Linked DNA regions of Arabidopsis thaliana. The protein of the gene in region 3 purifies or fractionates together with the protein of the main gene of each other region. This does not show direct contact. Each region holds a gene or a part of one and is shown on either strand. Other genes may lie near its edges. The genes, in order: AT1G14810, LIN2, CSY5 and hemf2.

Region 1 (7,450 bases), on a different chromosome or scaffold from region 3:
TCTCCCTGCCACAACGATTATTGAAGTTTCAGATGTTGGCCCTACAATTGAGAGGGAAAAATTTATGCTACGTAACTTTGACAACCTTCAAGCTCTTGCTAACACCAACATTGAACTTCCTGGTAATATTCTTCATGATTCTTACATTTTTTAAACATGAACTATGATTATAACACCTTTGAAATGATCTAGATGTTGTAGGCCAAATCACTTTCGTCCAAGGGTCAAACTTGAATGATCCAACTTCTACTCAACGTTTGGTTTTGCGATACCGGATTGATTCGTAAGCTAGCACTTCCAAACCAAAAAAAAATAATGAACAAAACTTTAAAATTGAACTGATACTTCCGTCTTTTTATTTTAAGGTCTGTTATTGTCTACTTATCACTATGGGATGATGTCGCCGCAACCTTTCGTGCCCATCTTAGCTCTGGTGATACAATTTACTCGGTCATGCTTGAGGACGAGCTGAGGAGCTTGAGGACGAGCTGAGGAGCTTGAGGACGAGCAAAGGAGCTTGAGGACGAGCAGAGGAGCTTGAGGACGAGCTGAGGAGCTTGAGGGCGAGCTGATAAGCTTGAGGACGAGCAGAGGAGCTAGAGAACGAGCTGAGGAGCTTGAAGACGTTTTAATATGGATTTCTTCGTCCTTTTTTCCTTGAGATGCCTCTCTATTTATAGAAAAACTAAGCTGGTGATAGGATCATGGACCAACTTTTATGGGCTTTTTGGGCTTGATGTTGATTAGTTTATTCTTGATTTGGGCCGAGCTAAAATGAGGGGTGCAATCCATCCCCCAACATGCCCCATGGAGCTTTCCGTATTTTTCTTCCCCAGAAGCTCAAACATCAACAGTTATTCACTAAAAGGTACTTAAATACATGGCTTAATTCCTACAAAATTCTACTACTTGCAATTAAATTCATACTTTTAATATCTCAAATCGAAATTGTAACTGGAGAAAAGCAAAAACCTCCTATAGATCTTCCTTTAAATTACTATAAAATCATCATCTCCTATACTAGGTGCATCAGCAAACGATGAACGCGTGCTCAAAACCCTTAATCTTGCTCCGTTGGTGAAGAAACCGTTATCATGCCGCAAACACCATCTTATTATGAAGAAATGTCTTGCCAACAACAACCCGGATGCTCACTACATAAAAGGTATAATATGGTACTTTAACCTTGATCATTGTGACGTTGGTCTCCACCATATTGGCATAGCAGCTAACGGAGGCCAGAAAGAAGCAATCTACATGTATGTCATGCTATTATTATGTAGAGGAAGGACTGAAGAGGGAAAAACCTATATGAGCCAACTTGAATGGGCTAAAGACACCACCATGGCTGAAACGTGTTGGAAACAAATCAAAACTTCACTAAATGGGATTAGAGTGGCGAGAAAAAGATGCTACATGATATCACTTCGCAACATGAAACCCCCCGACGTGTGCCATCCAAGAAATTTGGACAACACATGTGAGAAATGTTTTTTCTACAAACAAATGTTTAAGTTTATTTTTATGGTATAACTTAAACAAAACAACTAGAGAGTTGGAAACTGTTTTTAAAAAATTCCCTATAATGTTTGTGGCAGTGAACTATCACAAAGACTCAAAACAAAGTAAAAGTTATTACTCTTATTTCTTTTGCTTTAATGTGTGTCATTCCTTGCTGTTATAAGGAAATTTATATTTACAATAAAATCAAACTTTTAATTAATTATCTAAGCATATCGTACTTTCAATGTTAATATTGTTATAATCCAACTCTTTTTGGCTAATTCGCGAAGAGACGTTGAAAAGTGAAATCTTCCCCAAACCAAAGAGTAGTTTCTAAGATTTTAACAGAGACACAAAGAGAAAAAACAAATGGGCGGGTTCATATTGGGCCAAAATTAACAATGGCAACGATGTGTAAAATAACTTCGTCGTTAGTCTCTGTTCTTCGCTATCCTCTGCAGCAACCGCTTAATGCGAGAGAGAGAGAGATTTCCATTGTATTTTTAATTTAAAATAAAATATATAAAAACAAGACCAATGTAACAAATGCATTGCTTAGATATATATAACTCTAAAAAATATTCTTACAAGATAGTAAGTTTGGTCTATTATCCTATAAATTCTAGCATATAACCGGTAACAACATGAAAAAAAAATGTAAAACTATACATAGATTACAAAAATGTAGAAATCAAAAGATAAGATTAGCAAATAACAAAGATATTCCCTTTTTAATCAAAGATCAGTAAAAAAAATCGAAGTGGTTAGTGCATACTAACAAAACCAAAAACAAAACCAAAAACAACGCGGGTCTCCTCCCTAGTCTTAGTAACGAAGGAGTGATTTTAGGATTTGATAATATCCACTAAACAAGTAAATATTTGCTATAACTATCAATAAAGTGGGCCCCCACTGGTTCAGTCTTCAGTGTGTCAAATAATTGTGGAGCCCGGTTGTCTTCGGTGAGATCAACCAAGTCGGTACAGATTCGAACCGGAAAATTGCCAAGAGGTTCAAGCGTGTGCATGATGAGTTCAGATTTAAGAGACAACTTTATGAATCAAAGTAACAAAATTGGTCAAAATAGAAAACTCACAGAACAAAAAATGAGACAAATTCTTGGCTCAAATCTAATAATACAGTGATCTCTTTGTCAAGAATTTCATAAGAAGCAAAGTGAGAGCGGGTTCAAATTCAGAGAAGCATCTCAGCGATCTGAACAGCATTCAGAGCAGCTCCTTTGCGTATTTGGTCTCCACAAACGAATATGTCCAGCCTGAATTCACAAAGTTATATCCTTTTAGGCATATCGCAAAGACATTTGCTTCAAATTCAGTAGAAAAGAGTGAGACTTTACCCGAAATTGCCATCTTGAGACACGTCTCGCCTTATCCTACCAACCGCTACATCGTCTTTGTTAGAGACATCGAGTGGAGTAGGGAAAGTATTTGAAGCACGGTCATCTATTATATAAACTCCAGGTGCTTTCTTCAGTATCTCCCTTGCTGTGTTCTGTTATGATACAGTAAGAAAAACCGTTATAACCTGAATAAGAACTTGATCATAAGATTCTTTTAATTGCGCAACAAGAATCACAATACATGCTACCAGAGCAAGTCCAAAGAACAACTTCAGGGTTTAACTCTGCAAGTGCATCAAGAACTATCCAAGCCTACTTATGCTGATTACATGCTGCTCCACATTTTTCAATGGCTTGAGTTAAATTAAAACCATAGAATGTGGTTTAAAACTTCAAATTATGATTCAAATTGTCATATCAGTGAGTGAAATCATAAGGTAACACAACAACACAGAATCAGTAGAAATCGGGTTCGACGTGTGTTATTACCTCATCAAGAGGATTCTCAAACTGAAGATTCACACTCTCTGCATGAGCACGCATAACTGGAACACGTATACACGTTGCTGTTACTTTTACTTCTGTGTCATTCTGTGAAGGGCAAGAAATTGGTGTGAGATATCTAAAATTTTTGAACAAAAGATCAAAGTGAAATGAACACAAAATAGCACTTAAGTAACCACTCACCCAGATCTTCCTTGTCTCCTTCACAAGTTTCATTTCCTCTTCGTTGTAACCGTTGTCAAGAATAGGAGCATTATGTGAAAACAAGTTAAATGCATACTGCAGAACAACATACAAAACCATCACATTACTCAAAAAGGGATTTCATAATCAGCACATTCGAAATACAAACTATAAGCAAATTAAGCACTCACCTGCTGCCCGAAGATGTTACAAGTCGGAGGTTTACCCTCTAAAACCTAAGAAAACACACCAATGCAAAGAAGACGAAGAAGCAGAATCACAACTCAGCACAATCATTAAACAATTCAATCAAAGAAGGCTGAAATAGAAACAAAACCTCACGAGTCTGCTGAACAAGCTCTTCCATAGCTGCAGCACCAGCACCACTAGCTGCTTGATATGTACTAACCACCATTCTCTTCACCTATTATAGCCAATCAAACATTATTCAGAGCACTAAAGTCTAAAGCTTCCATTGATTCTCTAACTACCCTTCAAAATTTTGGACTAAGCAGATTTCAGAATAAAAATCGAACCTTTGCGTGATGATGAAGAGGCGTAACAGCCATCAAACAGATAATGGTGGAGCAATTAGGGTTTGCAATCAAAGCCCCTTTGCCCATTCCAACTTTGATCCCTTTCATTGCTTCTGGATTCACTTCAGGAATCACAAGCGGAACTCCATCAACCATTCTAAAAGCCGAGCTATTATCAACAACAATGGTTCCTTTCTCCGCCGCCAGAGGACCAAACTCTTTGCTTATGGATCCACCAGCACTGAACAAAGCTATGTCTACACCGTTGAAGCTATCCGCCGTGAGCTCCTCCACCGTGTATTCATGGCCATCGAAGGCAACACGCTTCCCTGCGGAGCGTTTCGATGCAAGCATCTTGATGGAGCTATAAGGGAAGTCTCGATCGGATAAGACGGAGAGGAATTCTTGTCCGACGGCTCCGGTAACGCCAACGACGGCGAGTGAAGGCGCAGATTCTTGGAGAGACATTTTGACTCTTGCGGAGAAGTGTCTAGGTTTAGCTCTGAGAGGAAGGCGAGAGAGGAAATGGGTTTGTGGGGTTTGATGAGTGAACGTCGCCATTGTCGCCGCCGTGAGGAAGAAGAAGTGAGAGACAGAGAGATAGAGAGATTTTGGAGGCGGCTGATAGAAAAAAGCTTGGGACTTTAAAGTGTGTTAGTGAATTGACCAACATCTTCAAAATTCAAAACAGCAAGATTGTTTAATTTAAGATACAGAAACAGCATGATGTTTGAAACTGCTCATTCACCAGATTGAGTATATTCACACAACTTTCTCATGTGTTTCATCATTTCTTCTTTTGGAAATATTAAGTTGTTGAAAAGTCTTTTGTCATATAACAAGGCTTAGGGATCATATTTAAGAGCTCGTGATTCTGGTTTTTAGCTCAAAGACATCTATAGCTAACTTTGGAATCTTACACGTACAACAAGAGGACATTAAGTTTCTAGAAGTTAGTCTGGTCTGTTGATCAATCCTGCTTTACAGCTTACTTATGATGTGAATAAGAAAAGATAAGCAAGAGCGAGCACTCAGTCACCAGATTGAATATATTCGCATTACTTTCTCATGTTTTCATTGCTTCTTTTGGAAATTTAGAGATGTACCACTAGTTATGTTCTGACCATTACAAATATTCAGGTTAATGCTTCCAAAAATAAAGAGCTAAACATTATTGTTTGTTAGAGTTACTGGAGCAGCCTGAGGAAGAAGAACATCTTGGATTGCTGTGAGCTTAGCTCGGCCACCGTACTCTTCCGGTAAAGCATCTGCTCCGATCTCCTCCTCGAATTTTCTCTGTTCTTCTCCATCCGTAACTATCACAATCTATGCAACAGCAAAATCATAATTTATGTGATTCGTTGCTCAAGAACCATTAGAGATAGATACATCAAGAGGAGATTAAAGATCAAACCTTTTCCTGAGTTGCTTTCTCTAGAAAACGGCAGACGAATTTCCAAACGGTCACGAAGAATCCGGGCATATGCAAAATGTAGCATTTTGCAAGGCGTTCCGGGTAGTAAGACTAGAGAAACATTTTCCAAATTTAATAGACAGGACTTCTTTTTGTGTGATAACTATATTGTTTCAGGAAGAAGGGAGATGCTTACTTGTAAGAATTGAAAGCCAGTGATCAATCCACGAGCATCAAGGTTCTTGTATGTAATGTTTGCCAGATCAATAACGGCTACTAATTTCTCACCTCCAACTTCTTTGCCATTGTTGCCACTGAAACATAAAAACCAAAAAGCTTGTCTCACAACCAACTAACCGGAAGATTATTGAAGTGTTTTGGTTTCAATAATGTGTAAACACCTTGCGATTGTTTTGTCTAGCGCATAAACAACAAACTCTGCAACATCAAACAGATAAAAGATTAGTTCATAGATAATTATCGCAAGAATCAACTCAAGGAAAACACATAGATGGACTCAAAAAACTTCATTCATTTGAAGTCAAATGAAACTACTCAATAATTAGAGAACCAGGAAAGAAGCTGATCAGTTCTATGAATACAAAAGTCACTGAAAGTCAAGGGACAGATTATTTCCAACGAAAGTAAAGGTCAGAAGCAAGTGAGAGGTGATTACTCTTGAAGTTAGCTGGATCCTTAGAAGCAAAATGCTTAGAGGTTATGACAAGCACCAATGGGTGTCCGGATTTGGTCGGACCCTGAAGACAGACCTTTCTGAATTCCAATTCATCCTGCACTTCTGACTCAGGGATGAATCCAGTTGGAGGAACCATGGAGGCTCTCCATTTTTGCCAATCTACAAACATCTTTGCTGCCTTGACTGGGTCCATTGATCTTGCCACCAGGAACCTCATCAATGTTGGTTTGTCATATCCCTTTTCAGAGGAAACAACAACAACAAAAACCATTGATGAGATTTTCTGATTATGGATTCACTTTTACTAAACTGTCTCTACTGTTAGGGTTTCTGATGGGAGGCTCAAACCTAATCAGACAAACCACTATGACGAGAATGGAGACAGAGTTTTAACAGTGTAGCCCATATAAAACCCATCAAAATCAAATGACAGATATTTCTCATTTTCTAACGAGACATTGTCAGTGAAACTCATGAAACGGCCAAAAGATGCAAGCTTTGTAAACTGTAATGAAACTAAAGCGTCGAATTAGATTACCTCAGTAGAAGAAGAGAGTTTCTCGACCGATTTTCTCAACTGGGTCAAGGCAAGTTCTTGGCTTTCCTCCATGATCTTTGGCTCTCTCAGATCCTAAAAAAATCTCACAGAGAAATAAAGAGAGAGCCTTTTGTGGTCCGTACAGACGCACGATAAAGTAAGTTGAAAAAGTAAAGAGCTTTGATGTTGACAAAGACCCAGAAGCCACAGGAAGAAGAAACAGACAAAGTATTGGGTACTTGTCTCTACGGTAAGTGGATAGAAATAACTCAATAAGCCTTTCCCCAACTCGCTGCAATTAATGGGCAGCTGGAAGTTGAAGCTCTCTCTTTGACTTTTGTTTCTACTACTTTGACGATTTAAAACAGCTGTGATGATTACATTGCTTTTTAACTCCTAAATCCCGAATCTTAAGGCTTACTTAAAGTTCTTTTAATCATTTTTCTGATCAACCATGTGAAACAGGCTTTGTTAACGGTTATACATTTAGCTGCTTGTTCTTAATTGAGCATTGGAAATTCAGTTCTAACGATTTTTATTGTTTGTGACAGAAGAAAAGTCCTTTAGGTTAATAAGTTGTTCTATCTACATGAGATGTACATTAAATTTTCAAGAAAGATTAGCTTCTTTGTCATCTATTTGTTTTTAAACTTGAACTGGATCCAAATACAGTAATGGCACAAGTGGAGACCAATTGAATAAAAATCAAAGATTA
Region 2 (7,356 bases), on a different chromosome or scaffold from region 3:
CAGAAAGATAAGATACCAAAAGAGAATCATCTACGACTATTATAACCCAATTACAACAAGTATCTTGATAACCAAAGACCTTTGAGAGGACCAAAGACCCATACACCAATATCAACACTTGGATTAAGACATTAAAAGAACCAAAATAAACGTGTCAAACCTTGATGAAACTAAATACCGATAAGATACCAAGAGAAGATACCAAGAGAAGAGCATCTTCTCCAACAACAACAAAGCTTTGTGACTAAAATTCATCAAGCAAAAACGCAATAGCTTACCTTTGAAATCAATAGACACACATATACCAAAATCAACACTTCGAATTCGAAAGAAGAATCAAATCATAAGTAAATATATAAAAATTCTTGGAACCCAAAAAGAGAAATTTTTACCAGAGAGAGTAGAATGAAGCCAAGGAGAGAAATTAGTAGTGTTGTGATTTCCAATCCACCACCATTTTGATGAGTCCATCACCATCTTTCACTCTTCTTAAAGCTTTCTCCACTCAAAAAACACAAAACAGCAAAATACAAATCAAAGACTCACTCTTTGAATTATTAGATTAGTTTCATCTTCAGTAACACAAAAAGCAGAGACTCCGAAAATTACCAACCTCGGTGCGTGGAAAACCAAGATAGACAATAAATAAACGGCGCCGTTTCTTCTTCTTCTTCTTCTTCTTCTTCTTCTCCGCCTTGAGAGCAATTTTAAGGAGTTTAGTATTCTTCTGTCTTCGGACTTGAGAGTTCAGAGTCTTTTATCATTGACATTAACTGTCTTAACCAATCGCATATTGCCACGTATGGTATTTAAGTAATACACAGCAGAGTTTGTAATTTACGGATATACCCCTGGAGGCTAAGCGGCGGATGACATGGCAGAACTTCACTGTTTATGTCCTTAAATGACGTTTCCACCCCTTAATATGAATTTTTGGACTGCCAGATTTGGTTCTTCAAACGAATTATTTATTACTTAAATAACTATTTTTTATAGAAAATTTCCTTAATCAAAGTCAAGTAAAATACTATTCAATGATTTCCTCTCTATATCAGAGTTGTTCTTTAATTTATTTAAATGTTTATAACCTTATAACAGTGTAGTCAAAGATTTATCATATATGGAGCTATGAACAGGGGTAGTTTGGGAGTTATGTTCAGATGATAGATATGAAAGTTATCTAAATGGGCCCCACGAGGCATGTGGGCCGGGGTGAGCGTAACACGCAAAAGGAGTTTGTGCAACGGTCGATAAAACTCTTTGCCGCAACTTTCCATGGCTTATTAGTGTGTAATGAATAAGACAAAAAACATTAAAGTAGTCGGGAAAAATAAAATATTAAAGTAAATATAAAAAATTGATGAACCTCATATTTAGTTCTTCATTTGGCTTTGTTTCATTATTAGCTCTTTTTACAATAAGACAAGTGAATCTATTTTTTTTCTTTTTAAGGATGTTATTGTCTTTGAATAATTTTAAATTTGTACCCTATTTATAGATTAAAGTATTGATTAACACTTACAGGCGTTAAGCACTATTTCTACATAAAAAAAATACACTGATTTGCATAGAATTCTGTACAAACAAACAAAAAATAGAAATTTATTGCTTTATTTGGGGATTATTAAATGATTCAGGGCGTAATAACGAGAGAGATGAAAAAAAAAGGAAATTATGACAGCTAACACTAAGAGGCTTGATGACAAAAAAAAAAAAAAAAAAAAATACTAAGAGGCCTAATGGCTTACATTAGGCTGGGCTGATCACTGTTTCTTCTCTTTGGAAAAGCTCAGATTTCAACACTTTGAGCAATAAGTTTTTGTTTTGGGTTCTTAAGGAGGATATGGATTTGGATTAGAGTCCGTAGATAAGCATGTCACTTGTGAAAAAGTTGAATGCACAAGTTGTCTTCGTTGCCATTGGCAAAAGAAAGAAACGAAACGACAGCGTAACAGACGCATGTTAACATGCACATCACAAGGCTAGAGTATAACTTTCTTTTCAGTAATCTAATCCTCTAAAGCTGCTCAAAACTTGCAAGAAACCAACTGTTTGCATTGGTAAGTTTTGACTTTTAACAACACTGCTCTTAGTTTGTCTTCATTGCCATCGCAAAGAGAGAAAGGAGATGATGTTAACATGCACATCACAAGACTAGATTTTGACCTGACCTTACACACTCTCTTTCTCCATCTCTCCAGTTATCTAATCCTCTAAAGCTGCTCAAAACTTACATGAAACAATGGAAATAAACTCACTCTTCTCACAACAATGGGAAACACAGGCTAGATCCACTCCTTCGGGTTGATGCAAGCATCCAATAGCTTCCACTCTTCGGTCCCCTCTTCCGGTTTCTGCACTCACAAACACCATTACTACATTGCCATATTCAATTGAATTTAGACCAAGTTTCTTCACAAATGAGGAAAGAACTTACATGGTCATATTCCCATCTTGCTGAAAGCGGAAGAGAGACGAGAATGCTCTCTATTCGTCCTCCTGTCTTCAGACCAAATGTCGTTCCCCGATCATATACCTTCCATCCATCATTACAAATACATTAGTGAACAAGGTTCATAACGAAAGATTGGAGAGATGAGAGTGAGAACAGAGAAAAAGACTAATGTTTTGGTCATAGTACCAAGTTGAATTCGACATATCGCCCTCGTCGCAACTGTTGCCATGCCTTGTGCTGCTCTGTAAATTCCATGTCTTTCCTTTTCTCTACTATAGGTATATAAGCCGGCACCACTGAGTTTGCGCATTCTGTAAACACCAATTGCTAAATTAGTCTACCAAGAAACTAGACCAATTAAAATAAATCGTTTGTTGTAGATTGAGGACAATCAGTCCCTTACCAGTGGCAAATGACAGAAGCATTTCCTGATCATAGTCATTAAGATCATCAAAAAATATCCCTCCAAGTCCTCGTCTCTCATCACGGTGCTGCAAGCAAAATCAAAGATTTCTAAGAAAAGTTTTCAAAGCCCTCACACTAACAATAGGCTTCTGAACGTCTCTCTAAGCAGTTTCTACCCTCTCAGATTTGACTATAACATCCCTAAACACAACTCAAAGAATAAGGCCCTCAGTTCCAGAAAATGCTTCAGGATCTCACAAAACTTACCTTGATGTAAAAGTAGTCATCACACCACTTCTTGAATCGGGGATAGAAGGAAGGGTCAAATTTGTCACAGGCTTGCTTTTGAATCTACAACAACAAAGAGCAGTTTATATAAAAGCAACTCCATGATCACAAAGCTCATATCTTTAGAACAAGGAATAAGGCTCAGTACCGAATGGAAATGCTTGACATCTTCTTCAAAGATGTAAGCAGGAGTGAAATCAGTGCCACCACCAAACCACCATTGCCTTGGAGCTCCAGGAACATCTGCGCCGTTGAAAATTAAAAACTTAAGACTGTTGTCCAAACAAAAGACAACAACTTTACAATCTCACTGAGACTTTAGCTTTTTTACCCTTTGGAGCATCTGTCTCGAAATAGCGATAATTGAAATGCAGGGTTGGGGCAAAAGGGTTCTTGGGATGCAAAACCTAGAATCACACAGAAATCCGTAATGATAAAACATGAGAACCTCCAAGAATCGTAAAATTGAAGGGAGAGATTCATTACCGAGCTGACTCCAGCAGCGAAGAACGGAACAGGACCAGGTTTCTGATCAGAAGCTGAGCCCTTTGCAGCTCTATAAGCTTCAGGAGGCATAACACCATAAACCACAGAGACATTAACACCAGCTTTCTCAAAGACATTCCCGTCCTGCAACACACGACTGATTCCACCGCCACCACCAGGTCGAGACCAAACATCTTCTTTAAACTTAGGACCGCCTTCTATAGCTTCAATTGCATCACAAACACTGTCTTGAGCAGCCCTAATCATAGTCTCGAAACGAGCCCTGACGGAAGAAGAAGAAGAAGATGGAGTGACGTCATCAGAATCCCTAAGGAAAGTAAAGGGTCGTTCAGTTTCGGGAACTTCTTTCTCAATTGAGACTGAACATCGCAAGGCGAGATTAGGTTTATTTCTGATTGGACGGGAGAATCTGAGAGTAGAGGGATTGGGAGAATAATGAAGACGATGAGAGGAGAAAGGAGCGAAAGTAGGAGAAGAGAGGAGAGTCGACGAGTGAGAAGCCATGTTTGATCCGAATTTGGATTTGATGCTGAAGAAGAAGATGATGATGGAGAGATATTAAATGATAAGAAGTCTTCGTCGTCCACTGATTTTGACCGCTCTTCCTTTTTATTTAACAGCTCAAGGTAAAAGAAAACACAGTTCCAGTCTTCTCAGACTAAACCACTTCTGAATTATTTAGCCGAAACCAAACCAGACACGAAATTAAAATTGCGGTTTAATTTGGTCGAACCGAAGATATTGATACACAATAGGCTCTTATCCTTCTTAACGGGCTTAATTGCCCAAATTAGGCCCAAAACGATTAGCCGGTTTACGGCACTATGCTATTTTGATGTGGATAAATCATGGTCATGTAATATATCTTTATCTATCGTTAGAATCTGTGATAAACAAAACAAAAGTGTATTATAGATTCGAATCCTATCTAATTATTATTTCAAATAACCAAATAGATGTAATTACAACCGTCTTATTCTTTCCAAAAAATAGTTAATCGCTGACAAAAGAAAATCCGGTTGGGCCCATCACGTTGTCTATATATTCATGATCATATAGAGAGTTCAGCCGCTTGACCTGCGAGGAATTCAAGAAAACCCTGCTTCACAGAGCAGTATTACACAAGAGACGAAAGAGCACTTTTAACCTTAGCAATTATATAGGTACCTTAGCTAGTTCTTCTTCGAATCTATACGATCGATATGAAGATTCTTCCGGTTGGATCACGGTTTTGTCCGACGGATCTAGGGTTGGTGAGGCTTTATCTTCGAAACAAGGTGGAGAGAAATCAGAGCAGTTTCATAACAACTATGGACATCCACCAAGACTACCCTTGGCTTCTTCCTCACGTAAACAATCCTTTGTTCAATAACAACGAGTGGTACTACTTTGTTCCGCTTACTGAACGAGGTGGCAAGATATTAAGCGTACACCGGAAGGTAGCCGCAAGAGGAGGAAGCGAAGGCGGCACTTGGAGAAGCAACGATGGGAAAAAAGAGATCAAGGACGGACACATGCAAAAGGGTGATGGGTTACGAGCAGTCTTTCACGTACCACAGGAGAGTGCATGGAAAGCTTGTCAAGACCGATTGACAGAAGATGGAGTATTCTCTTCACTAGAGTGATGACCTCCAAAAGGTTGTCTTGTGTCGGATCCGATACAAGAAAGAGGCGAACGTCAACGAGTTTGGACTCGTTAACCATCAGGCTCATCAGACTCAGGTGGCGGAGAACACCAACAACATCTTACGGAACCAAGTAGTGTAAGAAGAGGATGCTTTAACCGGTTTTGCTGATCAGCTTGAGATGATGCTAGAGGGACAAGAAGACCGTGAGCAGAAAGAAGAGGCTGATTTAACCGGTTTTGCTGATAGCCTTGAGACGATGCTAGAGGGACAAGAAGATCATGAGCAGCCAGAAGATGCTGATTTAACCGGTTTTGCTGATAGCCTTGAGACGATGCTAGAGGGACATGAAGATCGTGAGCAGCCAGAAGAGGCTGAATTAACCGGTTTTGCTAATGATGACCTTGAGACGATGATGCTAGATGGAGAATAATCTCGCGAAGTTACTCAACAACAACAACAACAACAACAACAACAACAACGTCAAGAAGATTGTGACGTTACTCAAGAGCAAGAAAAAGATGATGTGATGGTACTGATAAACAATCCTAATGATGCCCTCGCATTGGGGAATTATGAGATTATTGATCTAACTAGGGTTGATAAATGATACGACACAAACCAGAGAGGATAGAATTATATTTTAGTGGGTTGAGTTGATATGTGACAAAGATTACTATAGACATATGGTTAGTGTATTTGTGTAACTCCGGTAAAGGAGATATCATAAAAATAGTGGATTTTCCGGGGTAAAATTCTAGTTTAACGAACTTTATTTTAGTTTGTACTTTTGTTTTTCCATAACTCTACAATTAATATAGAGTTGCAGCAGTAATGTTAACTATTTAGCTATGAATTTCAATTGTGTACTTAAAAGTAATGTTTTTGGTTTTCAAAGATTATAAAATTCGAAAATACTAATTGTGATTTGTGAGTTCCATTGATAAATAAGCAAACATAAAGGACCAACAAATGTTTTGAAAACCAAAAAAAATGGTGGTTGTGGAGGTTGGGGCACATGAGAGCGTTTTTTTGACCAAAGTACGTAACAGAATCAACTTCTTCACTTGCCCGGTGGTTTCATTTTCCTTTTATAAAAAGACAAATATGAACTCATTTCCTCAAAACTTAATCACACCATGGCGGCTCAACTTCAACCTTATAACATCATCGAGACCTGTCACATCTCTCCCCCAAAGGGCACCGTTGCATCCACCACTCTTCCTCTCACCTTCTTCGATGCCCCCTGGCTCTCTCTCCCACTCGCCGATTCTCTCTTCTTCTTCTCTTACCAAAACTCAACTGAATCTTTCCTCCAAGACTTTGTACCCAACCTCAAACATTCCCTCTCCATCACTCTCCAACATTTCTTCCCTTACGCCGGTAAACTGATTATCCCGCCTCGTCCCGACCCTCCATATTTACACTACAACGCTGGCGAAGACTCTCTTGTTTTCACCGTAGCAGAGTCTACTGAAACCGACTTCGACCAACTGAAGTCTGATTCCCCTAAAGATATCAGTGTGTTGCATGGCGTCTTGCCCAAGTTACCTCCTCCTCACGTCTCTCCGGAAGGAATTCAGATGCGACCAATAATGGCAATGCAAGTCACCATCTTCCCTGGAGCTGGAATCTGTATAGGCAACTCAGCTACACATGTTGTAGCAGATGGAGTCACCTTCAGTCATTTCATGAAGTATTGGATGTCATTGACCAAATCCAGCGGCAAAGATCCGGCCACGGTTCTTCTACCCTCTCTGCCTATTCACAGCTGCAGAAACATAATCAAGGACCCAGGAGAGGTAGCCGCAGGACATTTGGAGCGGTTTTGGAGCCAAAACTCTGCAAAACACAGTTCACATGTTACGCCTGAGAACATGGTCAGAGCCACTTTTACATTGAGCCGGAAGCAGATAGACAATCTCAAGAGTTGGGTTACAGAGCAGTCTGAGAATCAATCTCCTGTTTCTACCTTCGTGGTGACTCTAGCTTTCATTTGGGTAAGCTTGATTAAGACACTTGTTCAAGACAGTGAAACAGAGGCCAAGGACGAAGTCTTTCACTTGATGATCAACG
Region 3 (8,859 bases):
TCTTCCTCCTCCGGCGTCTCCGCCTTATTAACCGGATCGGGATCTGGATTTCTCGAATTCTCGTTAGCCTTAACCATTTTATCTCCGTCTAATCGGTCGTGATCGGCGATTTTATCGACGGAGGCAGTTGAGTTGGACTCGTTCATCGACCTATTATCATCCCGGTCAGACTCCGTCGTTTCCCGGTTAACTCTCACCGGTTTAGTTTCGTCGTTTTTCAGATCTGGTTTATTGTCCCCATCATCTCCGTCTTTCTCCTCCTCTAGTTTCTTAACTTTTAACTGAAGCGACCTAATCAAAAACACCAAAAAAAATATTCAAAAATGAACTAAAATAAAAATGAAAAACTCAGATCCAGCGGCGGAGAAATAGAGACTTCTCCGTACAGTATCGAGTCGTCACATCGTTGAACCTCACGGCGGAGCTCCGCCATATGAAGACTCCGTAACTGCTCGAGCCAAGAGATTTCACCGACTTCATCCTCCTCGTTCGCCGCCGCTTCGGTATTTTCGTCTCCGACGTCGACGGAATCTTGGAACCTACGTTTGAGATCTTGATACTTAAGCCTGCAATTGACGGCGGAAACGATGAGAGAACTCCGGGAACGAGCCTGAACCTCCTTAGCGACGGAGTCCCAATCGGAAAAAGCATGACGTTTAACGGCGCATGTTAACACCAACTCCTCCCACGTTCCCCATACTTGTTTGATCTGATTCAGATTACTGTTATCGTCTCCGTCTCCGATACGATTGTTATCAAATTCAGTGGAACTGTTGTTAATATTGTTAGTATCGTCGTCGTCGTTCATGCCGTTCGATATCACTGCTTCTTCTTCTTCGTCCTCCTTCATAACAATACGCTCGTTTGTTTTTAGGGATTTAATTTTTAATTTGCTTTTTTTTTTTCTTTTTTTTTTTCTTATCACCTTGTTTCGTATTATGAAGCCTTTAAATATATGAAATGAAACTATATGTTATAAGAAAGAAAAAAATATTTAGGGTCTCGTTAGCTATATATATATATCTCCACTTCATATGGAAATGATATAGACCTACGTATAAGATTTTCACCTTTGCTTTACCCATTTTGTGTTTATATATATAGTAACGGGTCGGGTAGGTTCGGGTCAAACCAACCTCGCTTTGTGTGCAACAACCGTCTACGGAGAGGAGGAAGGAAGGCAGATCTATTTACAGGAATGACCCTCATGGGTTACTAGAAATAGAATGTTCCTTTTATATCGATGTTGGTTAATGTGAGTAACTTGGGCATGGAATTTATCCACTTCAAAAAGACATGGGCTTTAATTCGTTGTAAATGGGCCTCTAATGGAGATTGGACCCAGATTTGTCACTTATTTAAATGATAAATAAATAATTACGAAAAGGTGTGACTAAAATATTTGCATTTATTAGTACACACGAATGTTTGTGTGATACAGAGTTACAAGACACGTCTTGATGGGTTTTGATGACACAATTTTAAACTTTTTAAGTTAAACCCATCATTAAATAAATCAATACTTTAATTCACACTCACACGCAAAGATAAAGAAAGGGGATTAATTTTGGTAAACTTTAGAAGAATAAGAAACTCGTGACCAACCCTTGCATGACGAGACGGGTCAAGCCAGAAAACGCGAAAGGATTGACTAATATTTGAACCAATAATCTTGTATAGTTGTCTGGCTTTAGTAAGGAGGTGCCTAATCTATGTCAAGACTCTCTGTCACTTGACTTGGGTAGTTGGGTTCGAGCCCAGGAAACCGTAAGCCTCAAGGAAGTCAAGTTCCTTTTTCCGACATGGTTTTGGTTTTCCGAGGATGCCGTACGGCTTAAGCAAGTCAAGTCCATCACATACTTGAGTTGGAATTGTATGTTTCTCTTGCACCACTGGACTGGCCATGACAAGGAAGACTAGGATATGTTCTAATAATATATTTCCTGTCCTAGCTAGAAACCTCTGCTCTCGGTTTCTAATAATTCTCGGTAACAGGATCCAGCGACTCCTCTGAAAGTTAGAGAAAACTTGTGAGGAAGAAGACTCAAAATCAATTTCGCATTTCTGGCTTTTTGTGATTACGAAGAGTCTTATACTTAGCCAAATATCTGAAGGTTTAGAAGAGAACACGTTGCATCTTACTGTTCACTGAAGATAGCAAATGTGTTTTGTAGAATCATCATAAAGCTTCGTAGGGAGCTTCTTAAGATAGGAGGAAGCTTCTGTTTGATCCCGAGGCTTTGAATTTCTTGACTCTGCTTCTGTTCACTTCAAACACTCTGTTTGAGCGGGACTGGTTGCATGAGTATTGTTTATTATGCGATAATTCACCAAAGACTAATCAATACATATCAATGGTCATCATTTGTCTATCAAAGTTGAGGAACAATAATATGGTGTCTCAATCTGAGAAAGACTGTTTCTTTACTTGTTTGACTTTATTGTTTTTGCAGAAGAACCAAAATGAAAACTCTGTAGAACAAAATTTCGACGAAAAATCGTTTTTTTTTTATCTCTAAAAGCTACCCAATCAAATGGAAGAGAAGGCTGAAGTGATAAAAGAGAGAACCTTGACCAACATCAGTCAGGGATTAACTTAGCGGTTCAAGCGCGTGAAGTTATCGAGCCAGTCCATGTTTACACTCTTTGGTCTCTCAAGTGGCAGTCCAAGTGCCCTGTCCCATATCAGCTGAAACAGAAAAGGAATAAAAGATTAGTCTGACTTTATTGTGAAGGATATGGCGATACGTACTAAAATCGAATTGTCGATGGCATGAATGTATGTATGTACCTGCGAGCAGATTCCAAGACTTCTTGAGACGCCAAAAAGCACCGTGTAGTATCTATATTTGAAAGGAATGTCACTCTATAATAACCAAGATTCAGCAAAACAAGGTCAAAGCCTCGATACACAAGTAGTTCCTACCTTGCTTCGGTTAGACCATAGTAGTTCAGAAGCACTCCGCTATGAGCATCAACGTTAGGCCACGGGTTCTTGACCTGATACAGCAATTTCAAGATTCATAAAACCAGAGAAAATCAGAAAATCTGGTAGCACATGAAATGAATGAGTATAAGTAGTACCTTTCCCAGCTCGGTTAGAATAGGAGGCACCACTTCATAAAGTTTTGAGACCTATAGACTTGCATAATTTGTGAGCCAGTAAAATTTTAAAGCATGACCAAAGATTTGAGGGGGAAAAAAAGTTACCAGCTGAAAAAGAGGATCATCAGGTAGATGCTTCAAGGCAAACTCTCTTTGGCATATATATCTTGGATCCGTTTTACGCAAAACACCATGGCCATATCCTGGAACAACCTGCAAGACAAATGTTTATTTAAGTTTCCTGACAACATTCACAGGCAAACCCCATAATCAAAACATAATCCGAAGCTTTTATTCATTATTTATACAATAATTCAAGTTATGGCCTGTCATGATTAGCATGCAATACATATGGATAGTTTCAAAAGGCAAAGCAGAGCATAATTTTGTCAACCTTGCCACTGTTTAACGTTTTCCAGACATAATCTTTTAGCTGTTCCTTTGATATACTTTCTCCACATTCCTCAACAACTAATTTGATCCACAGCAAAACTTCCTACAACAAGACAACGAAAAAAAACAGAGTAAGATTCCAAGTTTAAGCTTATAATTAAGAGTCAATCTTAGAGTTCAAGTTATATACACTTGTAGATTCGAACAATATAAGACTCATTAAGGATATAAATACCTGATTAGCCAAACCATGGAGTGGCCCAGCTAAACCATTCAATGCAGCAGCAAATGAAAGATATGGATCTGAAAGTGCACTCCCAACCTAAGTGAAGAAACATCATTAGCCAAAAACAGAACCATCAGAAATGTCTATAAGTTCAAAACATTATCATGCATCAAGATCATGTGGCAAATACATACCAGGTGACCAGCGTGAGCACTAACATTTCCACCTTCATGATCACTAAAACAGAAACCAGTAGACAAGGGAAAAAAAAACCTTGATCATGCTATAGAAATTTGGTAAGAGTTGGTAAAATAAAGGAAGATCATCATTATATACAAGAAAACTTTAGCTTATGTATTCTAATTAATGAGACATGTTGAAACGAAGAGAACCAGGACTAACCTGTGGATAGTGACATAAAGCCTCATGAGCTCTTTCATCTGAGGACTATCAAATCCCAGCATGTGTGAAAAATTTGCACCATAATCCAAAGAATCATCTAATGGAATGATGCTACCATCCTTGTACATCCTGCAATGTGAATTAGAATGGACATTGAAAAATAACACTCTGAAGAAAGGAAAATCTAAGAAAATTAACTAGTCCAGGAAGCTAAAAGCATTGGAAAAGATCCTAAAATTTAACCTCCGATAAACGTATGAAGCTACAACAGGAACACGAGCAATCAAGTTTAGGGCATCTTCGAAGGTTGGTTCCCAGTACCTGACAAGAAACCTCAGTTTCTATGATGCCTACTACTATAAGCCAATCAAGAAACAAAGTATAGAACTATTGAAAGTTTATACTTTGACTTAGAAATATCACCCTGCTCATACGCCTTTTGAAACTCACTTTGAACCTGAATAACAATCAACAAGATAAGATGCTCCTGAAAATAAACAAATTCTAAGAGAATGCATAGAAAAAAAAAATAGTACATAACAGAGCAATCCACCTGAAGGGCCATAACACCACTAGCAAATTGAGTCATTGGATGAGCTGTTGAAGGCAAAGCATCTATAGCTTTGTATATATAATCTGCAATGGAGAGTTGTTATATTTGCAACATCATAATATCCAGTTTATAATTATCATCAGCTTGTATTTTGCTAAGTTTTGATGAGTCATGAAACTGAGGTCATAAACAAACAGAGCCTAGAGGTGAACTACAAACCTGGCACAGCCGCACGATGAGCCAACTCTGTTGACAAAGCATTAGCTTGCTCTTTAGTTGGCACCTATACCGAAAGGAGGGAAAACTATACTTTAGATCATTCATATATAAAGTTGAAACTTATTGTATGTATAAAATGTTTTAAGATTATCACACCTTTCCAGTTAATAGAAGCCACAGAAGACTCTCAGGCAAGGGCTCTTCTCCAGACTCAGCTGAAGGTAATATTTTCTGACATTCAGGAATCGACATGCCTCTAAACCGTATTCCCTGATACAAAAGATAATATCATATGTTATATAATTCTAATTCAAGATCTGACCTGAAAATTATCTATGTGATCAAAATTATAACCATACCTCATCTGCATCAAGCAATGAGGTTTCCCAGAGTAATCCAGTCATCCCTCTCATTCCACCAAGTACCTTCACAAATACCACATGTAAAACTATATATACGAGTATGTTTAAAAGATAAAGCCTTTGTGTAATCACAAATATCATTAGAATCCGTACCATATCAACGGTGATGTTCCCCACTGGAACCTTTCCTTGTTCTGATTTCAGTTTCTTCAAACGGTCCTGAAAGTTGAAAGTTGTGTTTGTGTATGAGAAATGACATCAACTAAAACAGAGAGAAGAGCTTGATCTCTACATGAAATCTGCCCTAAAATTAGAAACAATCTCAATCACAACGAAGTAGAAACTAAACCTGTTGTTCTGGAATGATCTCTTGCATCTGCGACTTCAAGTCCTGCATTACCATCATTTTAAGCAACATCAACACAAAACCTAGAAGGTAAAATTCCAAATTTTTGGTTCTCAAACTGAACCGCATGATCACGAGAACATGAAAACCTAAGAAAGTACCAATTCAGAAGAGTGGAGCCATCTGACGGAGTTACTAAGTGAGGATTGTTGCACCTGTGCTTCTTATATTAGATCTGATCATCAAATTGTATCACATCAAACAAAACACAAAAAGGATGAAAGCTAAATCTACTCACTGCTCGAGACCGTAGTCTTGAAATGGCTGATACGCTGCGAAAAAACACCATTCTTTCAAACCTCACAACACTGATCGGTTACGAATCCAAACAATCAAGATTGGCTTAACCAGATAAGAGATAAAGGGAAAGAGAAAGCGTGGAGAAGAACTAACGGGAAATTCGAAAGTTTCTTCAACGTAGAGAGAAAAATTGAGAGATGTTGAGATATATCTGCAACGTGATGAACAAGCGTCAAATTACAACATATGTAAACCAAACACACGGATTCTTCTTACCAAACCGGTATAATGAACCAATTGATTACCATTTAGAAAACCAAACGAACAGGTTATGTTCGGGTTCGGTTGAGATTGGTTAGTTCCGTCGGTCCGTGAGACGCAAGATTCGAAGCAGCCGTAACGATTCTAATGCCTAAAAAAACGGTCATTAATAAATAAAGAACAAATGGTATGTAGCTTTTGCTGTTGCTAAATAAAAAAGTAGCTTCTTGGTAAAGTCCAAGGGTTTAGATAAAACATAATTTTATTTTGTTGGAAATAAATAAAGTAAAAATGACATTTCACAATTGAAAAAAAAAGTTATAAACTTCGTTATTATAATTTCTTGGTCGAATGGGCGGTTTGATATTCTTCATTCTCCATTAGTTATCAGAAATTTTTATATTCTTTTGAAATACTATTTAATGATGTAACACAACTATTAACAATGATGGATATAGCTATAGCTAGTTAATATTAAAACATTGGATATCATATTATATGACACTATTGATCGTTATGTCATCCAAAAAATAAACTGATATTTCAATGAATGAGATTGGAAAAATATGACATATATCCATTACAACTCATTATAATCATATTACCATATCATTTTAATGTTTATGAAATGTGAGTCCACCTTTCATAATCTAACGTTTTGAGAAGTTAAAATGTAATTTAGCCATAAAGTTTTGAAGGTATATATCAAGAACATCGCCAATAAAACAGAACTTTATTCATTTATATATTCAAATCGAAACTCTTTTAGAGTCATGTAAGAATCATTTATCATTATAGTATTTCGTTAATTCAGTTTAATGGAATTCATTTTTGTTTTATCAAACAATTTGTTGTAAGTAACATGACTTATATATGAATTAACAAACAAAATAATTTGACGAAAAAAAATGAACAATCTAAAAAATTCAATCACAATATCATTCTCGCTTTTCTATATATAAAACTTGCACACGCACGCGTGAGTACAACGTTACACCATTTTTAAGTAGAGTTTTCACATGATCGGAGATCAAAACACAAACTTACTTTTTCTTGGCAAAATCAGTCTACAAACTCATCACTACACTCTTTCTTGGTAAATTAAGTCAGTCTAACAAATTAAATCAAAGGGCACCCAAGCCCAAAAAATCCAAACATTTGTACATATATACAAGTTATGTATGTTCCTACCTATATAGATGATCATCGTCTCAACCTTGGTCTTGTCTTGACCCATGTCTTGTTATGCTCCATATCGAATAAATGATCAAATCATCATCAAAACCAACAGGACTTACGATTAGTAGAAACCCTACATATTAGGGTAAGGTGTGACCAAACTAATTATTGTTGTTGAAGATCAAACCATCGACTTGAGAATATGTTGTCGTCTTCATCAAGATCGATCAAACCGTCAAAATCAAAGTAAGTATTTGTGTTTGAACTTGATCCCCATTCTTCCTTCACCACGTGGCTCCCTATTATTCTGTTGTCCAGTTCAGCCGTATGTTCTTGGCCGGAATCTTGAGGCAAACCCGGTGGCGCAGGAAAATTTGTGTTGGTTATCTTTTTCTTAGAACCGGTTTTGGTGATCTCCGGTTTCCCGGTTAGACTTTGGACGAGTGTGCGGAAGTTCTTGACATCGGTGTTGATGATCTCGGGAGCAAATATATGGATGATACGGATCTTAGGCTTGATCTTGGTTATTATTTGGGAGTTCTTGTTCATGGGAACCAAAGTTTTTGAATAATCACCATAAAAGGTTTGATGAGGAAGATGATCTATATCGTACTCAGCCTTCATAGAATTTCTCACCATATAAACGTAAAAAGAAGATGAAGAAGCGAAGATTTTGGGTTTTTCTTTTTTGGATTTCAGGTTTCTTGTATTGTTTTGGGAAATGATATGCATATGTTGTGGATTATATGTCTCTATATATATACACAAAAAAAACAAAATGTGAATATACAGTTTTATTGTTGGTTTGTAAAAAAACATTAATAAAATACTATTTCTTAAAGACAAACAAAATGAAAATAGTTAAAAATATAAGACGAAATAGCTATGGACCTGCCTTCCATTACACACTTTTCAACAACTTGAGTTAAATAAATTGTAATTTAAACAAAAAGAATGATCTGTTTCTTTTACGCTATCGGAATAAAATGGTTTTTAATTTTCCAACTGATGATATATCATATAATCAATTAGCTATATAATTAAGTAAAAACATACATATGAGTAGATGGCGTGAGCGATGTTTTATTTAATATATGTGGTTGACTATATAATATAGGTCGTCGACTTAACCTTTGGAGGTGAATTTGACTTTGTTTTATTTACGAATTTGTTAAAATGTCCTTTACCAAAATAATAATAATAATAATTTGTTACATGGCTTATGGAGATAGGGTTTCTTGGAGTTGTACATATATTTTAAAACAATCTTTCACTACATATGTGAAATTCGTCTTAGTAATTTTCACGGAGCATATGTGAAATGTAATTATTTATTGTCTATGGTAAACATCGTTAATAGTAAAAAAATTACATTTGTTTCGGAATTAAGAGATTAGATAAACCGACAAAAAGAAAAACAAATTCCGTGTGCCCTATACTAATAACTTAATAAACACGACAGATACTCGTCGGACGTGATATGTGACTCATCTGTACACGTGCAAAGCTTTTT
Region 4 (6,860 bases), on a different chromosome or scaffold from region 3:
CACCTGATTTAAAGCCGTTGATGGGTGGAACCTACTTTCCTCCAAATGACAATTATGGACGACCAGGATTCAAAACTCTCCTTAAGTAAGTAAACCCTTTTTCTCTTATTGTACAAAAGCATTCTAGGCTTGTAATGGTGCAATAAAAAATAGAGTATGTATGTAGAAACAAACGCTCTTGGCGAAGACTATAGTTGATTCGTTTATGTTCTCCATGTTTTCTTTGGGTTTGGTTCAGGAAGGTGAAAGATGCGTGGAACAGTAAGAGGGATACTCTAGTGAAGAGTGGTACATATGCTATCGAAGAACTCTCTAAAGCTTTATCTGCAAGTACTGGAGCCGATAAATTGTCAGATGGGATTTCTCGGGAGGCTGTGAGTACATGTGCAAAACAAGTATGATTCGACTCGCGGACTCTAGAAAAATATATATGATTGATACATCAACATGAAAAGGTCTTCTAACAGTGAGTGTTTGTGTTAAAGCTTTCTCGGAGCTATGATTCGGAATTCGGTGGGTTTGGATCTGCACCAAAGTTCCCGAGGCCTGTCGAGATCCAGCTGATGCTTTATCATTACAAAAAGTTGAAGGAATCGGGGAAAACTAGTGAGGCTGATGAAGAGAAAAGTATGGTTTTATTCAGCTTGCAAGGCATGGCAAATGGAGGGATGCATGATCACATTGGAGGCGGGTTTCATAGATACAGTGTCGATGAATGTTGGCATGGTAAAACTTCAAACAGTATCCTGTAGTATCAAGGTGATGAAAAATATTTTGAGATTGACGCATTTTTTGCTATTTGTCTGGTGCAGTTCCACATTTTGAGAAAATGCTGTATGATCAAGGGCAACTAGCTAATGTGTACCTCGACGGTTTTAGCATTACCAAGGACGTTATGTATTCTTATGTGGCAAGAGACATCCTTGATTATCTTAGAAGAGACATGATTGCACCTGAAGGTGGAATATTCTCAGCTGAAGATGCCGATAGCTTTGAGTTCGAGGGGGCAAAGAGAAAGAAAGAAGGAGCTTTCTATATATGGACAAGCGATGAGGTTCTTTTCTCTGATATATGATATATTCATGAGCTGACTCTGGTTTCCCTCTGCATACTGACATTTGTTTTGCGTGTGTGTTTGGTTTCAAGATTGATGAAGTCCTCGGGGAGAATGCTGATCTTTTCAAGGAGCATTATTATGTTAAGAAATCAGGTAACTGCGATCTTTCGAGCAGGAGTGACCCGCACAATGAATTTGCTGGGAAGAACGTGCTGATCGAAAGAAATGAGACGTCTGCTATGGCATCAAAGTTTAGCCTCTCTGTTGAGAAGTATCAGGAGATATTAGGTGAATGCCGAAGAAAGCTTTTCGATGTCAGATTGAAGCGACCTAAGCCGCATCTAGATGATAAGGTAATACTCTTCTTGGAATTCTCATGTTGTCTTCTCTACTGTTTCTTCAGATTTGTTAACCATTTAAGATTTCTTTCATAGATAATCGTGTCTTGGAACGGTCTTGTTATCTCGTCTTTCGCAAGAGCTTCCAAGATTCTTAAGGCTGAGCCTGAAAGCACCAAATATTATTTCCCTGTGGTGAATAGTCAGGTAATGAATGCTACACCCTTTCCTTTAATTTCTTCTTTGACCGTTTTGTAATTAGAAGACTCATTTTTCAGCCAGAGGATTACATAGAGGTTGCAGAGAAAGCAGCTTTGTTTATCAGAGGAAATCTCTATGATGAGCAGTCTCGCAGATTACAACACAGTTACAGACAGGGGCCATCCAAAGCTCCTGCCTTCTTAGACGATTATGCTTTCTTGATCTCTGGTTTACTCGATCTTTACGAGAATGGAGGTGGGATCGAATGGCTTAAGTGGGCGATTAAACTTCAAGAAACACAGGCAAGTGAGATCTTTACTAGCTCGATTTGTTAAAGTTCTTGATTTTGGCTAAAAAAGTTAAAAACATTTTAGGATGAGTTATATCTGGACCGAGAAGGAGGAGCATACTTCAATACTGAAGGACAAGACCCATCGGTTCTTCTTCGTGTAAAAGAAGATCATGATGGTGCAGAACCTTCAGGGAACTCTGTTTCTGCTATCAATCTTGTGAGGTTAGCTTCCATAGTCGCCGGAGAAAAAGCTGAATCCTACCTCAACACGGCACATCGTCTCCTGGTAAACAAACAAACAACTAATCCCATTTGCTATTCATAGAAAGAGATTATTGAGTCTCTTTGTTGTTGTTTTTGCAGGCAGTCTTTGAGTTGAGGTTAAGAGAACTGGCGGTGGCTGTGCCATTAATGTGCTGCTCCGCAGATATGATCTCTGTTCCGTCGAGGAAACAAGTTGTATTGGTTGGTTCTAAGTCTTCCCCAGAGCTTACCAACATGCTTTCTGCAGCACATTCAGTCTATGATCCTAATAAAACGGTAAGAGCTTAAAAAATTATCCAAATTTCTAGATTCAAGATTTGTGACTTTTGGTGGTTTTACTGAGCAGGTGATTCACATAGATCCCTCTAGTTCTGATGAAATCGAGTTTTGGGAAGAGCATAACAGTAATGTAGCTGAGATGGCTAAGAAGAACAGAAACTCAGAGAAAGTGGTGGCTCTTGTTTGTCAACACTTCACTTGCAGTCCTCCTGTCTTTGACTCTTCTTCTCTCACTCGCTTGCTTTCCAAGTAAACAAAGATCATTCCATGTTTAATAGTTGCTTGTACTGTAAGGAACAGATCAACGTTGTTCTCTCTGTTACAGTCTTACAGAGTAGATAAATAAAGAAGAGAACTAAACCGAGTATGAGGTTTTTTGGTTGAACTAAACCGGAAATAACCGGGTTTGGTTTGGTTAAAAAAACAGAGCTTTGACGATTCCTTATCATCTTCTATCTTCAGCAAAAAGGTGAAAACTTGGATTCGATCGATCGCTGAAAATGGCGTCTCACTCTTCGACTCTCTTCACTTCTCCTTCTTCCTTCATTCTCTTCTCTTCTCATCGTCTCAAATCTTCTCCGAATTACTTCACTTACCACTTTCCTCGTTCCGTAAAGAGACCACATTTCGACTTGCGATGCTCAGTCTCAATCGAGAAAGAAGTTCCGGAAACAGAAAGACCTTTCACTTTCCTCAGAGTCTCCGACGGCGATCAAACTCAATCTTCTTCTTATTCGGTTAGGGCTCGTTTCGAGAAAATGATAAGAACTGCTCAAGATAAAGTCTGTGAAGCCATTGAAGCAGTCGAAGAAGGTCCTAAATTCAAGGAAGATGTTTGGTCTCGACCCGGTGGAGGTGGTGGAATCAGTCGTATTTTGCAAGACGGAAATGTATGGGAGAAAGCTGGAGTTAATGTCTCTGTGATTTATGGTGTTATGCCTCCTGAAGCTTATAGAGCTGCTAAAGCTGCCACGTCTGAGCAAAAACCTGGTCCGATTCCGTTCTTTGCCGCTGGAACCAGCTCGGTGAGTTCTCTCTCTCTCTCTCTATCAGTCGACATTGCTGTTGATATGGTCTCTGAGTTCTTTGATTGAGCTTGATCCTACATTCTAGGTTTTGCATCCTCAGAACCCTTTTGCTCCGACTCTGCATTTCAATTACCGCTATTTCGAGACCGATGCTCCAAAGGGTAAGACCTTAATCCTCTTTGAGAAGTGTAAAGTTCCAATTTTTTGGTTGGATGAAGCATTTGATTTCATCACTTGTAGATGTTCCTGGAGCTCCGAGGCAATGGTGGTTCGGTGGTGGGACTGACTTCACACCTGCTTACATCTTTGAAGAAGACGTCAAGCACTTTCATTCGGTCGTTAAACCTGATCCATTGTTCTGAAAGTTTGAAGCTTTGTGATTATGGAGATGCTGATTGAAATATCTTTCTTTGTGTAGGTTTAAAAGCAAGCCTGCGATAAATTTGATCCGTCGTTCTACCCTTGGTTTAAGAAATGGTGTGATGACTACTTTTACATTAAGGTCTGCAGTTCCTTTAACGCTATTCTGATTGTTTGGTGAGATCTTAGCACTTTGTGGAACTAAAAGACCTTAGTTTTAGAGTCATGTATGTGCAAGAATAGATTTAGAGCCTCAAGGTTTTGTTTAGGTTGATACAGTGATAAGTTGTCGCCTAGGATTTGAAAACACTAAAAACTTTACGGTCTTGCCTGCAGCACCGTGATGAGAGGCGAGGGCTTGGAGGGATATTTTTTGATGATTTGAATGACTATGATCAAGAGATGCTTCTGTCATTCGCCACTGGTAGTGACCAAGATATAACTTGTGACATTTTGTTTTAAGAAACTTCCTAGTTGACTTATTTGAATACTGAGATGAATTTTGCAGAATGTGCAAGCTCAGTGATACCAGCTTCTATACCCATAGTAGAGAAACGTAAAGACACACCATTTAACGAGCAACACAAGGCATGGCAACAGCTGCGAAGGGGCAGATATGTTGAATTCAACTTCGTAATTGGATACTACTAGCTTTGTTTTTCTTTCTGTATAAATATCTCTTGAAACCTCGTCTCATGTTTTGTTGCTGATGGTAAAAATAAAGGTGTATGACCGCGGAACAACATTTGGTCTGAAGACTGGAGGACGAATAGAGAGTATCCTTGTCTCTCTTCCGCTATCTGCGAGATGAGAATATGACCATGTAAAGTTTCTTGATTCAAGAAACTAAATCTTGTTTCATCTTAGCTAATGAAACTTAACTACTGATGGTGTTTGTCTCTTGTTGCGGATGCAGAAACCTGAAGAAGGAACTGAGGAATGGAAACTATTAGATGCTTGTATCAATCCAAAAGAGTGGCTTTAGTTAATTAATTGTGGTTATTTCCCCAATTAGCTCTTTTATTAGTTTTGTCTTTAAAAGCCTTAAAAGAGTAAAGAGTCTAATGAAAAGTGAGTGAGATAAAGAAATTGTAATTTGGCGTCATCTCATCATGAGTCACTGACAAACAAAGATCATGATGGTTGATGATGGAGTATATAGTACCAATCGTGATGATGATGATAAAAGTAATTAACTTTTAATTTTTTTTACTGACACAGTAAAAATAAGAGCCGTTGGCTCAAATAGCCGAGCCTCTCGGTGCACGCACGCATGCCACTTGCTCGGTAACTGTTCACTAGACAGAACACAACAACACTCAAATAGAGTGATAACATTGAATCTGATGATTTGGTTTAGTATAAAAATCGTTTCCAAGTTTCAACGAGTGGGACTTGTGTTAGGTTAAACAATTTCGGATTAAGTAAACGTCACTGTCTCATTTGTCTTGATACAAGAAACGCCCGTGATATTTTTTCTTCGATGTCGTCCAATGGGGACAAAGAAACAATTTAGTCCCCGGATATACACACACACACACAAATAATACATGGGTGTTGTTATTATGGCTTACCTTACACAACACAACTTGCCAATGTTTTTAAATTTACTAAAAACCAAAGCCAGAAGATATTTTATTGCCACAAATTGACGTCACACCTGCCCATATCTAATCCATGTCTGCAACACAAAAAACAAAAAATTGAATTCCCCCAAAAAGTGAGGAGAGAGATGTAAAGACTGTGTACCAATTCAATATCTTTTTGAGCAGAGTAAAAAAAAAAGTTTAAAAATTTGAGCTTCTGACACAAAAGGAGCCAAATGTAATAGCTGGATCCAATCCAATGCAATGAAAACATCTTAGCTGTAAAATGGTCCAATCTCTCTCTTTTCTTTCTACATTATTACTTCCACAGAATCAATTTATCTCTCGAAAAGCAATAAAGTCTCTATATTTGTGCTCAAAGATAGACAGAGAAGCATAAATACTTGTCCTCTGTGTAGTACAAAAGTGGAGCCCCACTGAGTGATGCCCTCACAGTAACGGCTACATTTTTCTTTTATCTCTCTGTCTCTCTCTTCTTTTGAGTGATTTTTTATGAAGATGGGTTCTTTTGTCCACTTATTACTGTCCTGAATCACACGTCGAATCCTACGTGGCATCTCTCTCCATTGTATGCCAGCTCACTCTCACTCACTCACTCACCTCCCGCCTTTATAAAGCCTTACCTCTCTCTCTTGTCTCCTTCATTGAGTCAAGTGCTCGAGACTGTAGAGTGAAGTTTGATTTATTTAGAGAGATAAGTTAAAAAAAAAATGGTCGGTATGGATTTGTTCAAATGTGTAATGATGATAATGGTGTTGGTTGTCTCTTGTGGTGAAGCTGTTTCTGGAGCTAAGTTCGATGAGCTTTATCGGTCAAGCTGGGCTATGGATCATTGTGTCAACGAAGGCGAAGTCACAAAACTCAAGCTTGACAATTACTCTGGTAAGTAGATGAAGACAAACCCATCTCTGTTTAGTTTCCTCTGTTTTTGGTGCCATCTCTGTTTTGTTTCCTCTGTTTTTGTGGGTTCATTATAATTGAATATGTTTTTATTGAATTTTTCAGGAGCTGGGTTTGAATCAAGAAGCAAATACTTGTTTGGTAAAGTCTCTATCCAGATTAAGCTTGTTGAGGGTGATTCAGCAGGAACAGTCACTGCTTTCTACGTACGGAACAAAACCCATCTCTTCTTGTTCTGTTTTTAATCCCCTATTTGATTATTATGTCTCAAATATTGAAATGTGACAATGTTTGTTCTAATACAGATGTCTTCAGATGGTCCGAACCACAACGAATTCGATTTTGAGTTCTTAGGGAACACTACCGGCGAGCCTTACATAGTCCAGACCAATATCTACGTGAACGGAGTTGGAAACAGAGAACAAAGACTCAACCTTTGGTTCGATCCCACCACTGAGTTTCACACTTACTCAATCCTCTGGAGTAAACGCAGTGTTGTGTAAGCTCTCTTATACAAACAAAGTCTCTTCCTTT

What was found.
Region 1: the proteins of CSY5 (region 3) and AT1G14810 fractionate together in Arabidopsis thaliana (co-fractionation; one large-scale study listed by BioGRID). This does not show direct contact.
Region 2: the proteins of CSY5 (region 3) and LIN2 fractionate together in Arabidopsis thaliana (co-fractionation; one large-scale study listed by BioGRID). This does not show direct contact.
Region 4: the proteins of CSY5 (region 3) and hemf2 fractionate together in Arabidopsis thaliana (co-fractionation; one large-scale study listed by BioGRID). This does not show direct contact.

What each region holds. Positions count from the first base shown.
Region 1 is NC_003070.9:5,099,987-5,107,436, forward strand, and holds AT1G14810 (semialdehyde dehydrogenase family protein), read right to left. Parts: upstream 4,865-7,450; 5' UTR 4,648-4,864; coding exon 4,087-4,647; intron 3,975-4,086; coding exon 3,888-3,974; intron 3,787-3,887; coding exon 3,742-3,786; intron 3,647-3,741; coding exon 3,551-3,646; intron 3,455-3,550; coding exon 3,353-3,454; intron 3,318-3,352; exon of another isoform or gene 3,196-3,317; coding exon of another isoform or gene 3,166-3,195; exon of another isoform or gene 3,016-3,165; coding exon 2,861-3,015; intron 2,780-2,860; coding exon 2,698-2,779; 3' UTR 2,573-2,697; coding exon of another isoform or gene 2,452-2,572; 3' UTR 2,438-2,451; downstream 1-2,437. Other genes in the region: AT1G14800 (Nucleic acid-binding, OB-fold-like protein), read left to right, coding at 1-122, 202-283, 366-433, 543-625, 748-868, 1,034-1,259, 2,452-2,572; AT1G14820 (Sec14p-like phosphatidylinositol transfer family protein), read right to left, coding at 5,251-5,412, 5,501-5,611, 5,697-5,814, 5,902-5,938, 6,177-6,435, 6,736-6,807.
Region 2 is NC_003070.9:867,017-874,372, forward strand, and holds LIN2 (Coproporphyrinogen III oxidase), read right to left. Parts: upstream 4,293-7,356; 5' UTR 4,160-4,292; coding exon 3,635-4,159; intron 3,556-3,634; coding exon 3,480-3,555; intron 3,392-3,479; coding exon 3,297-3,391; intron 3,212-3,296; coding exon 3,128-3,211; intron 2,947-3,127; coding exon 2,859-2,946; intron 2,767-2,858; coding exon 2,642-2,766; intron 2,537-2,641; coding exon 2,438-2,536; intron 2,355-2,437; coding exon 2,286-2,354; 3' UTR 1,837-2,285; downstream 1-1,836. Other genes in the region: NET3A (Kinase interacting (KIP1-like) family protein), read right to left, coding at 393-477; NAC006 (NAC domain containing protein 6), read left to right, coding at 4,858-5,196, 5,276-5,377, 5,429-5,666, 5,724-5,890; AT1G03495 (HXXXD-type acyl-transferase family protein), read left to right, coding at 6,420-7,356. UniProt on the Arabidopsis thaliana protein: Key enzyme in heme biosynthesis. Catalyzes the oxidative decarboxylation of propionic acid side chains of rings A and B of coproporphyrinogen III.
Region 3 is NC_003074.8:22,189,984-22,198,842, reverse strand, and holds CSY5 (citrate synthase 5), read right to left. Parts: upstream 6,114-8,859; 5' UTR 5,956-6,113; coding exon 5,905-5,955; intron 5,822-5,904; coding exon 5,768-5,821; intron 5,652-5,767; coding exon 5,610-5,651; intron 5,480-5,609; coding exon 5,414-5,479; intron 5,324-5,413; coding exon 5,258-5,323; intron 5,169-5,257; coding exon 5,055-5,168; intron 4,963-5,054; coding exon 4,899-4,962; intron 4,763-4,898; coding exon 4,680-4,762; intron 4,584-4,679; coding exon 4,531-4,583; intron 4,448-4,530; coding exon 4,370-4,447; intron 4,256-4,369; coding exon 4,127-4,255; intron 3,962-4,126; coding exon 3,919-3,961; intron 3,821-3,918; coding exon 3,734-3,820; intron 3,602-3,733; coding exon 3,500-3,601; intron 3,319-3,499; coding exon 3,211-3,318; intron 3,136-3,210; coding exon 3,085-3,135; intron 3,001-3,084; coding exon 2,927-3,000; intron 2,844-2,926; coding exon 2,792-2,843; intron 2,690-2,791; coding exon 2,597-2,689; 3' UTR 2,396-2,596; and 1 more. Other genes in the region: AT3G60110 (DNA-binding bromodomain-containing protein), read right to left, coding at 1-291, 387-850; AT3G60090 (VQ motif-containing protein), read right to left, coding at 7,512-7,985.
Region 4 is NC_003075.7:1,409,883-1,416,742, forward strand, and holds hemf2 (Coproporphyrinogen III oxidase), read left to right. Parts: upstream 1-2,902; 5' UTR 2,903-2,931; coding exon 2,932-3,456; intron 3,457-3,544; coding exon 3,545-3,620; intron 3,621-3,699; coding exon 3,700-3,821; 3' UTR 3,822-3,877; coding exon of another isoform or gene 3,878-3,883; 3' UTR 3,884-4,642; intron 4,643-4,735; 3' UTR 4,736-4,900; downstream 4,901-6,860. Other genes in the region: AT4G03200 (catalytics), read left to right, coding at 1-85, 239-395, 486-726, 813-1,054, 1,147-1,410, 1,492-1,602, 1,674-1,898, 1,971-2,174 and 2 more; XTH9 (xyloglucan endotransglucosylase/hydrolase 9), read left to right, coding at 6,137-6,308, 6,432-6,532, 6,632-6,825. UniProt on the Arabidopsis thaliana protein: Key enzyme in heme biosynthesis. Catalyzes the oxidative decarboxylation of propionic acid side chains of rings A and B of coproporphyrinogen III.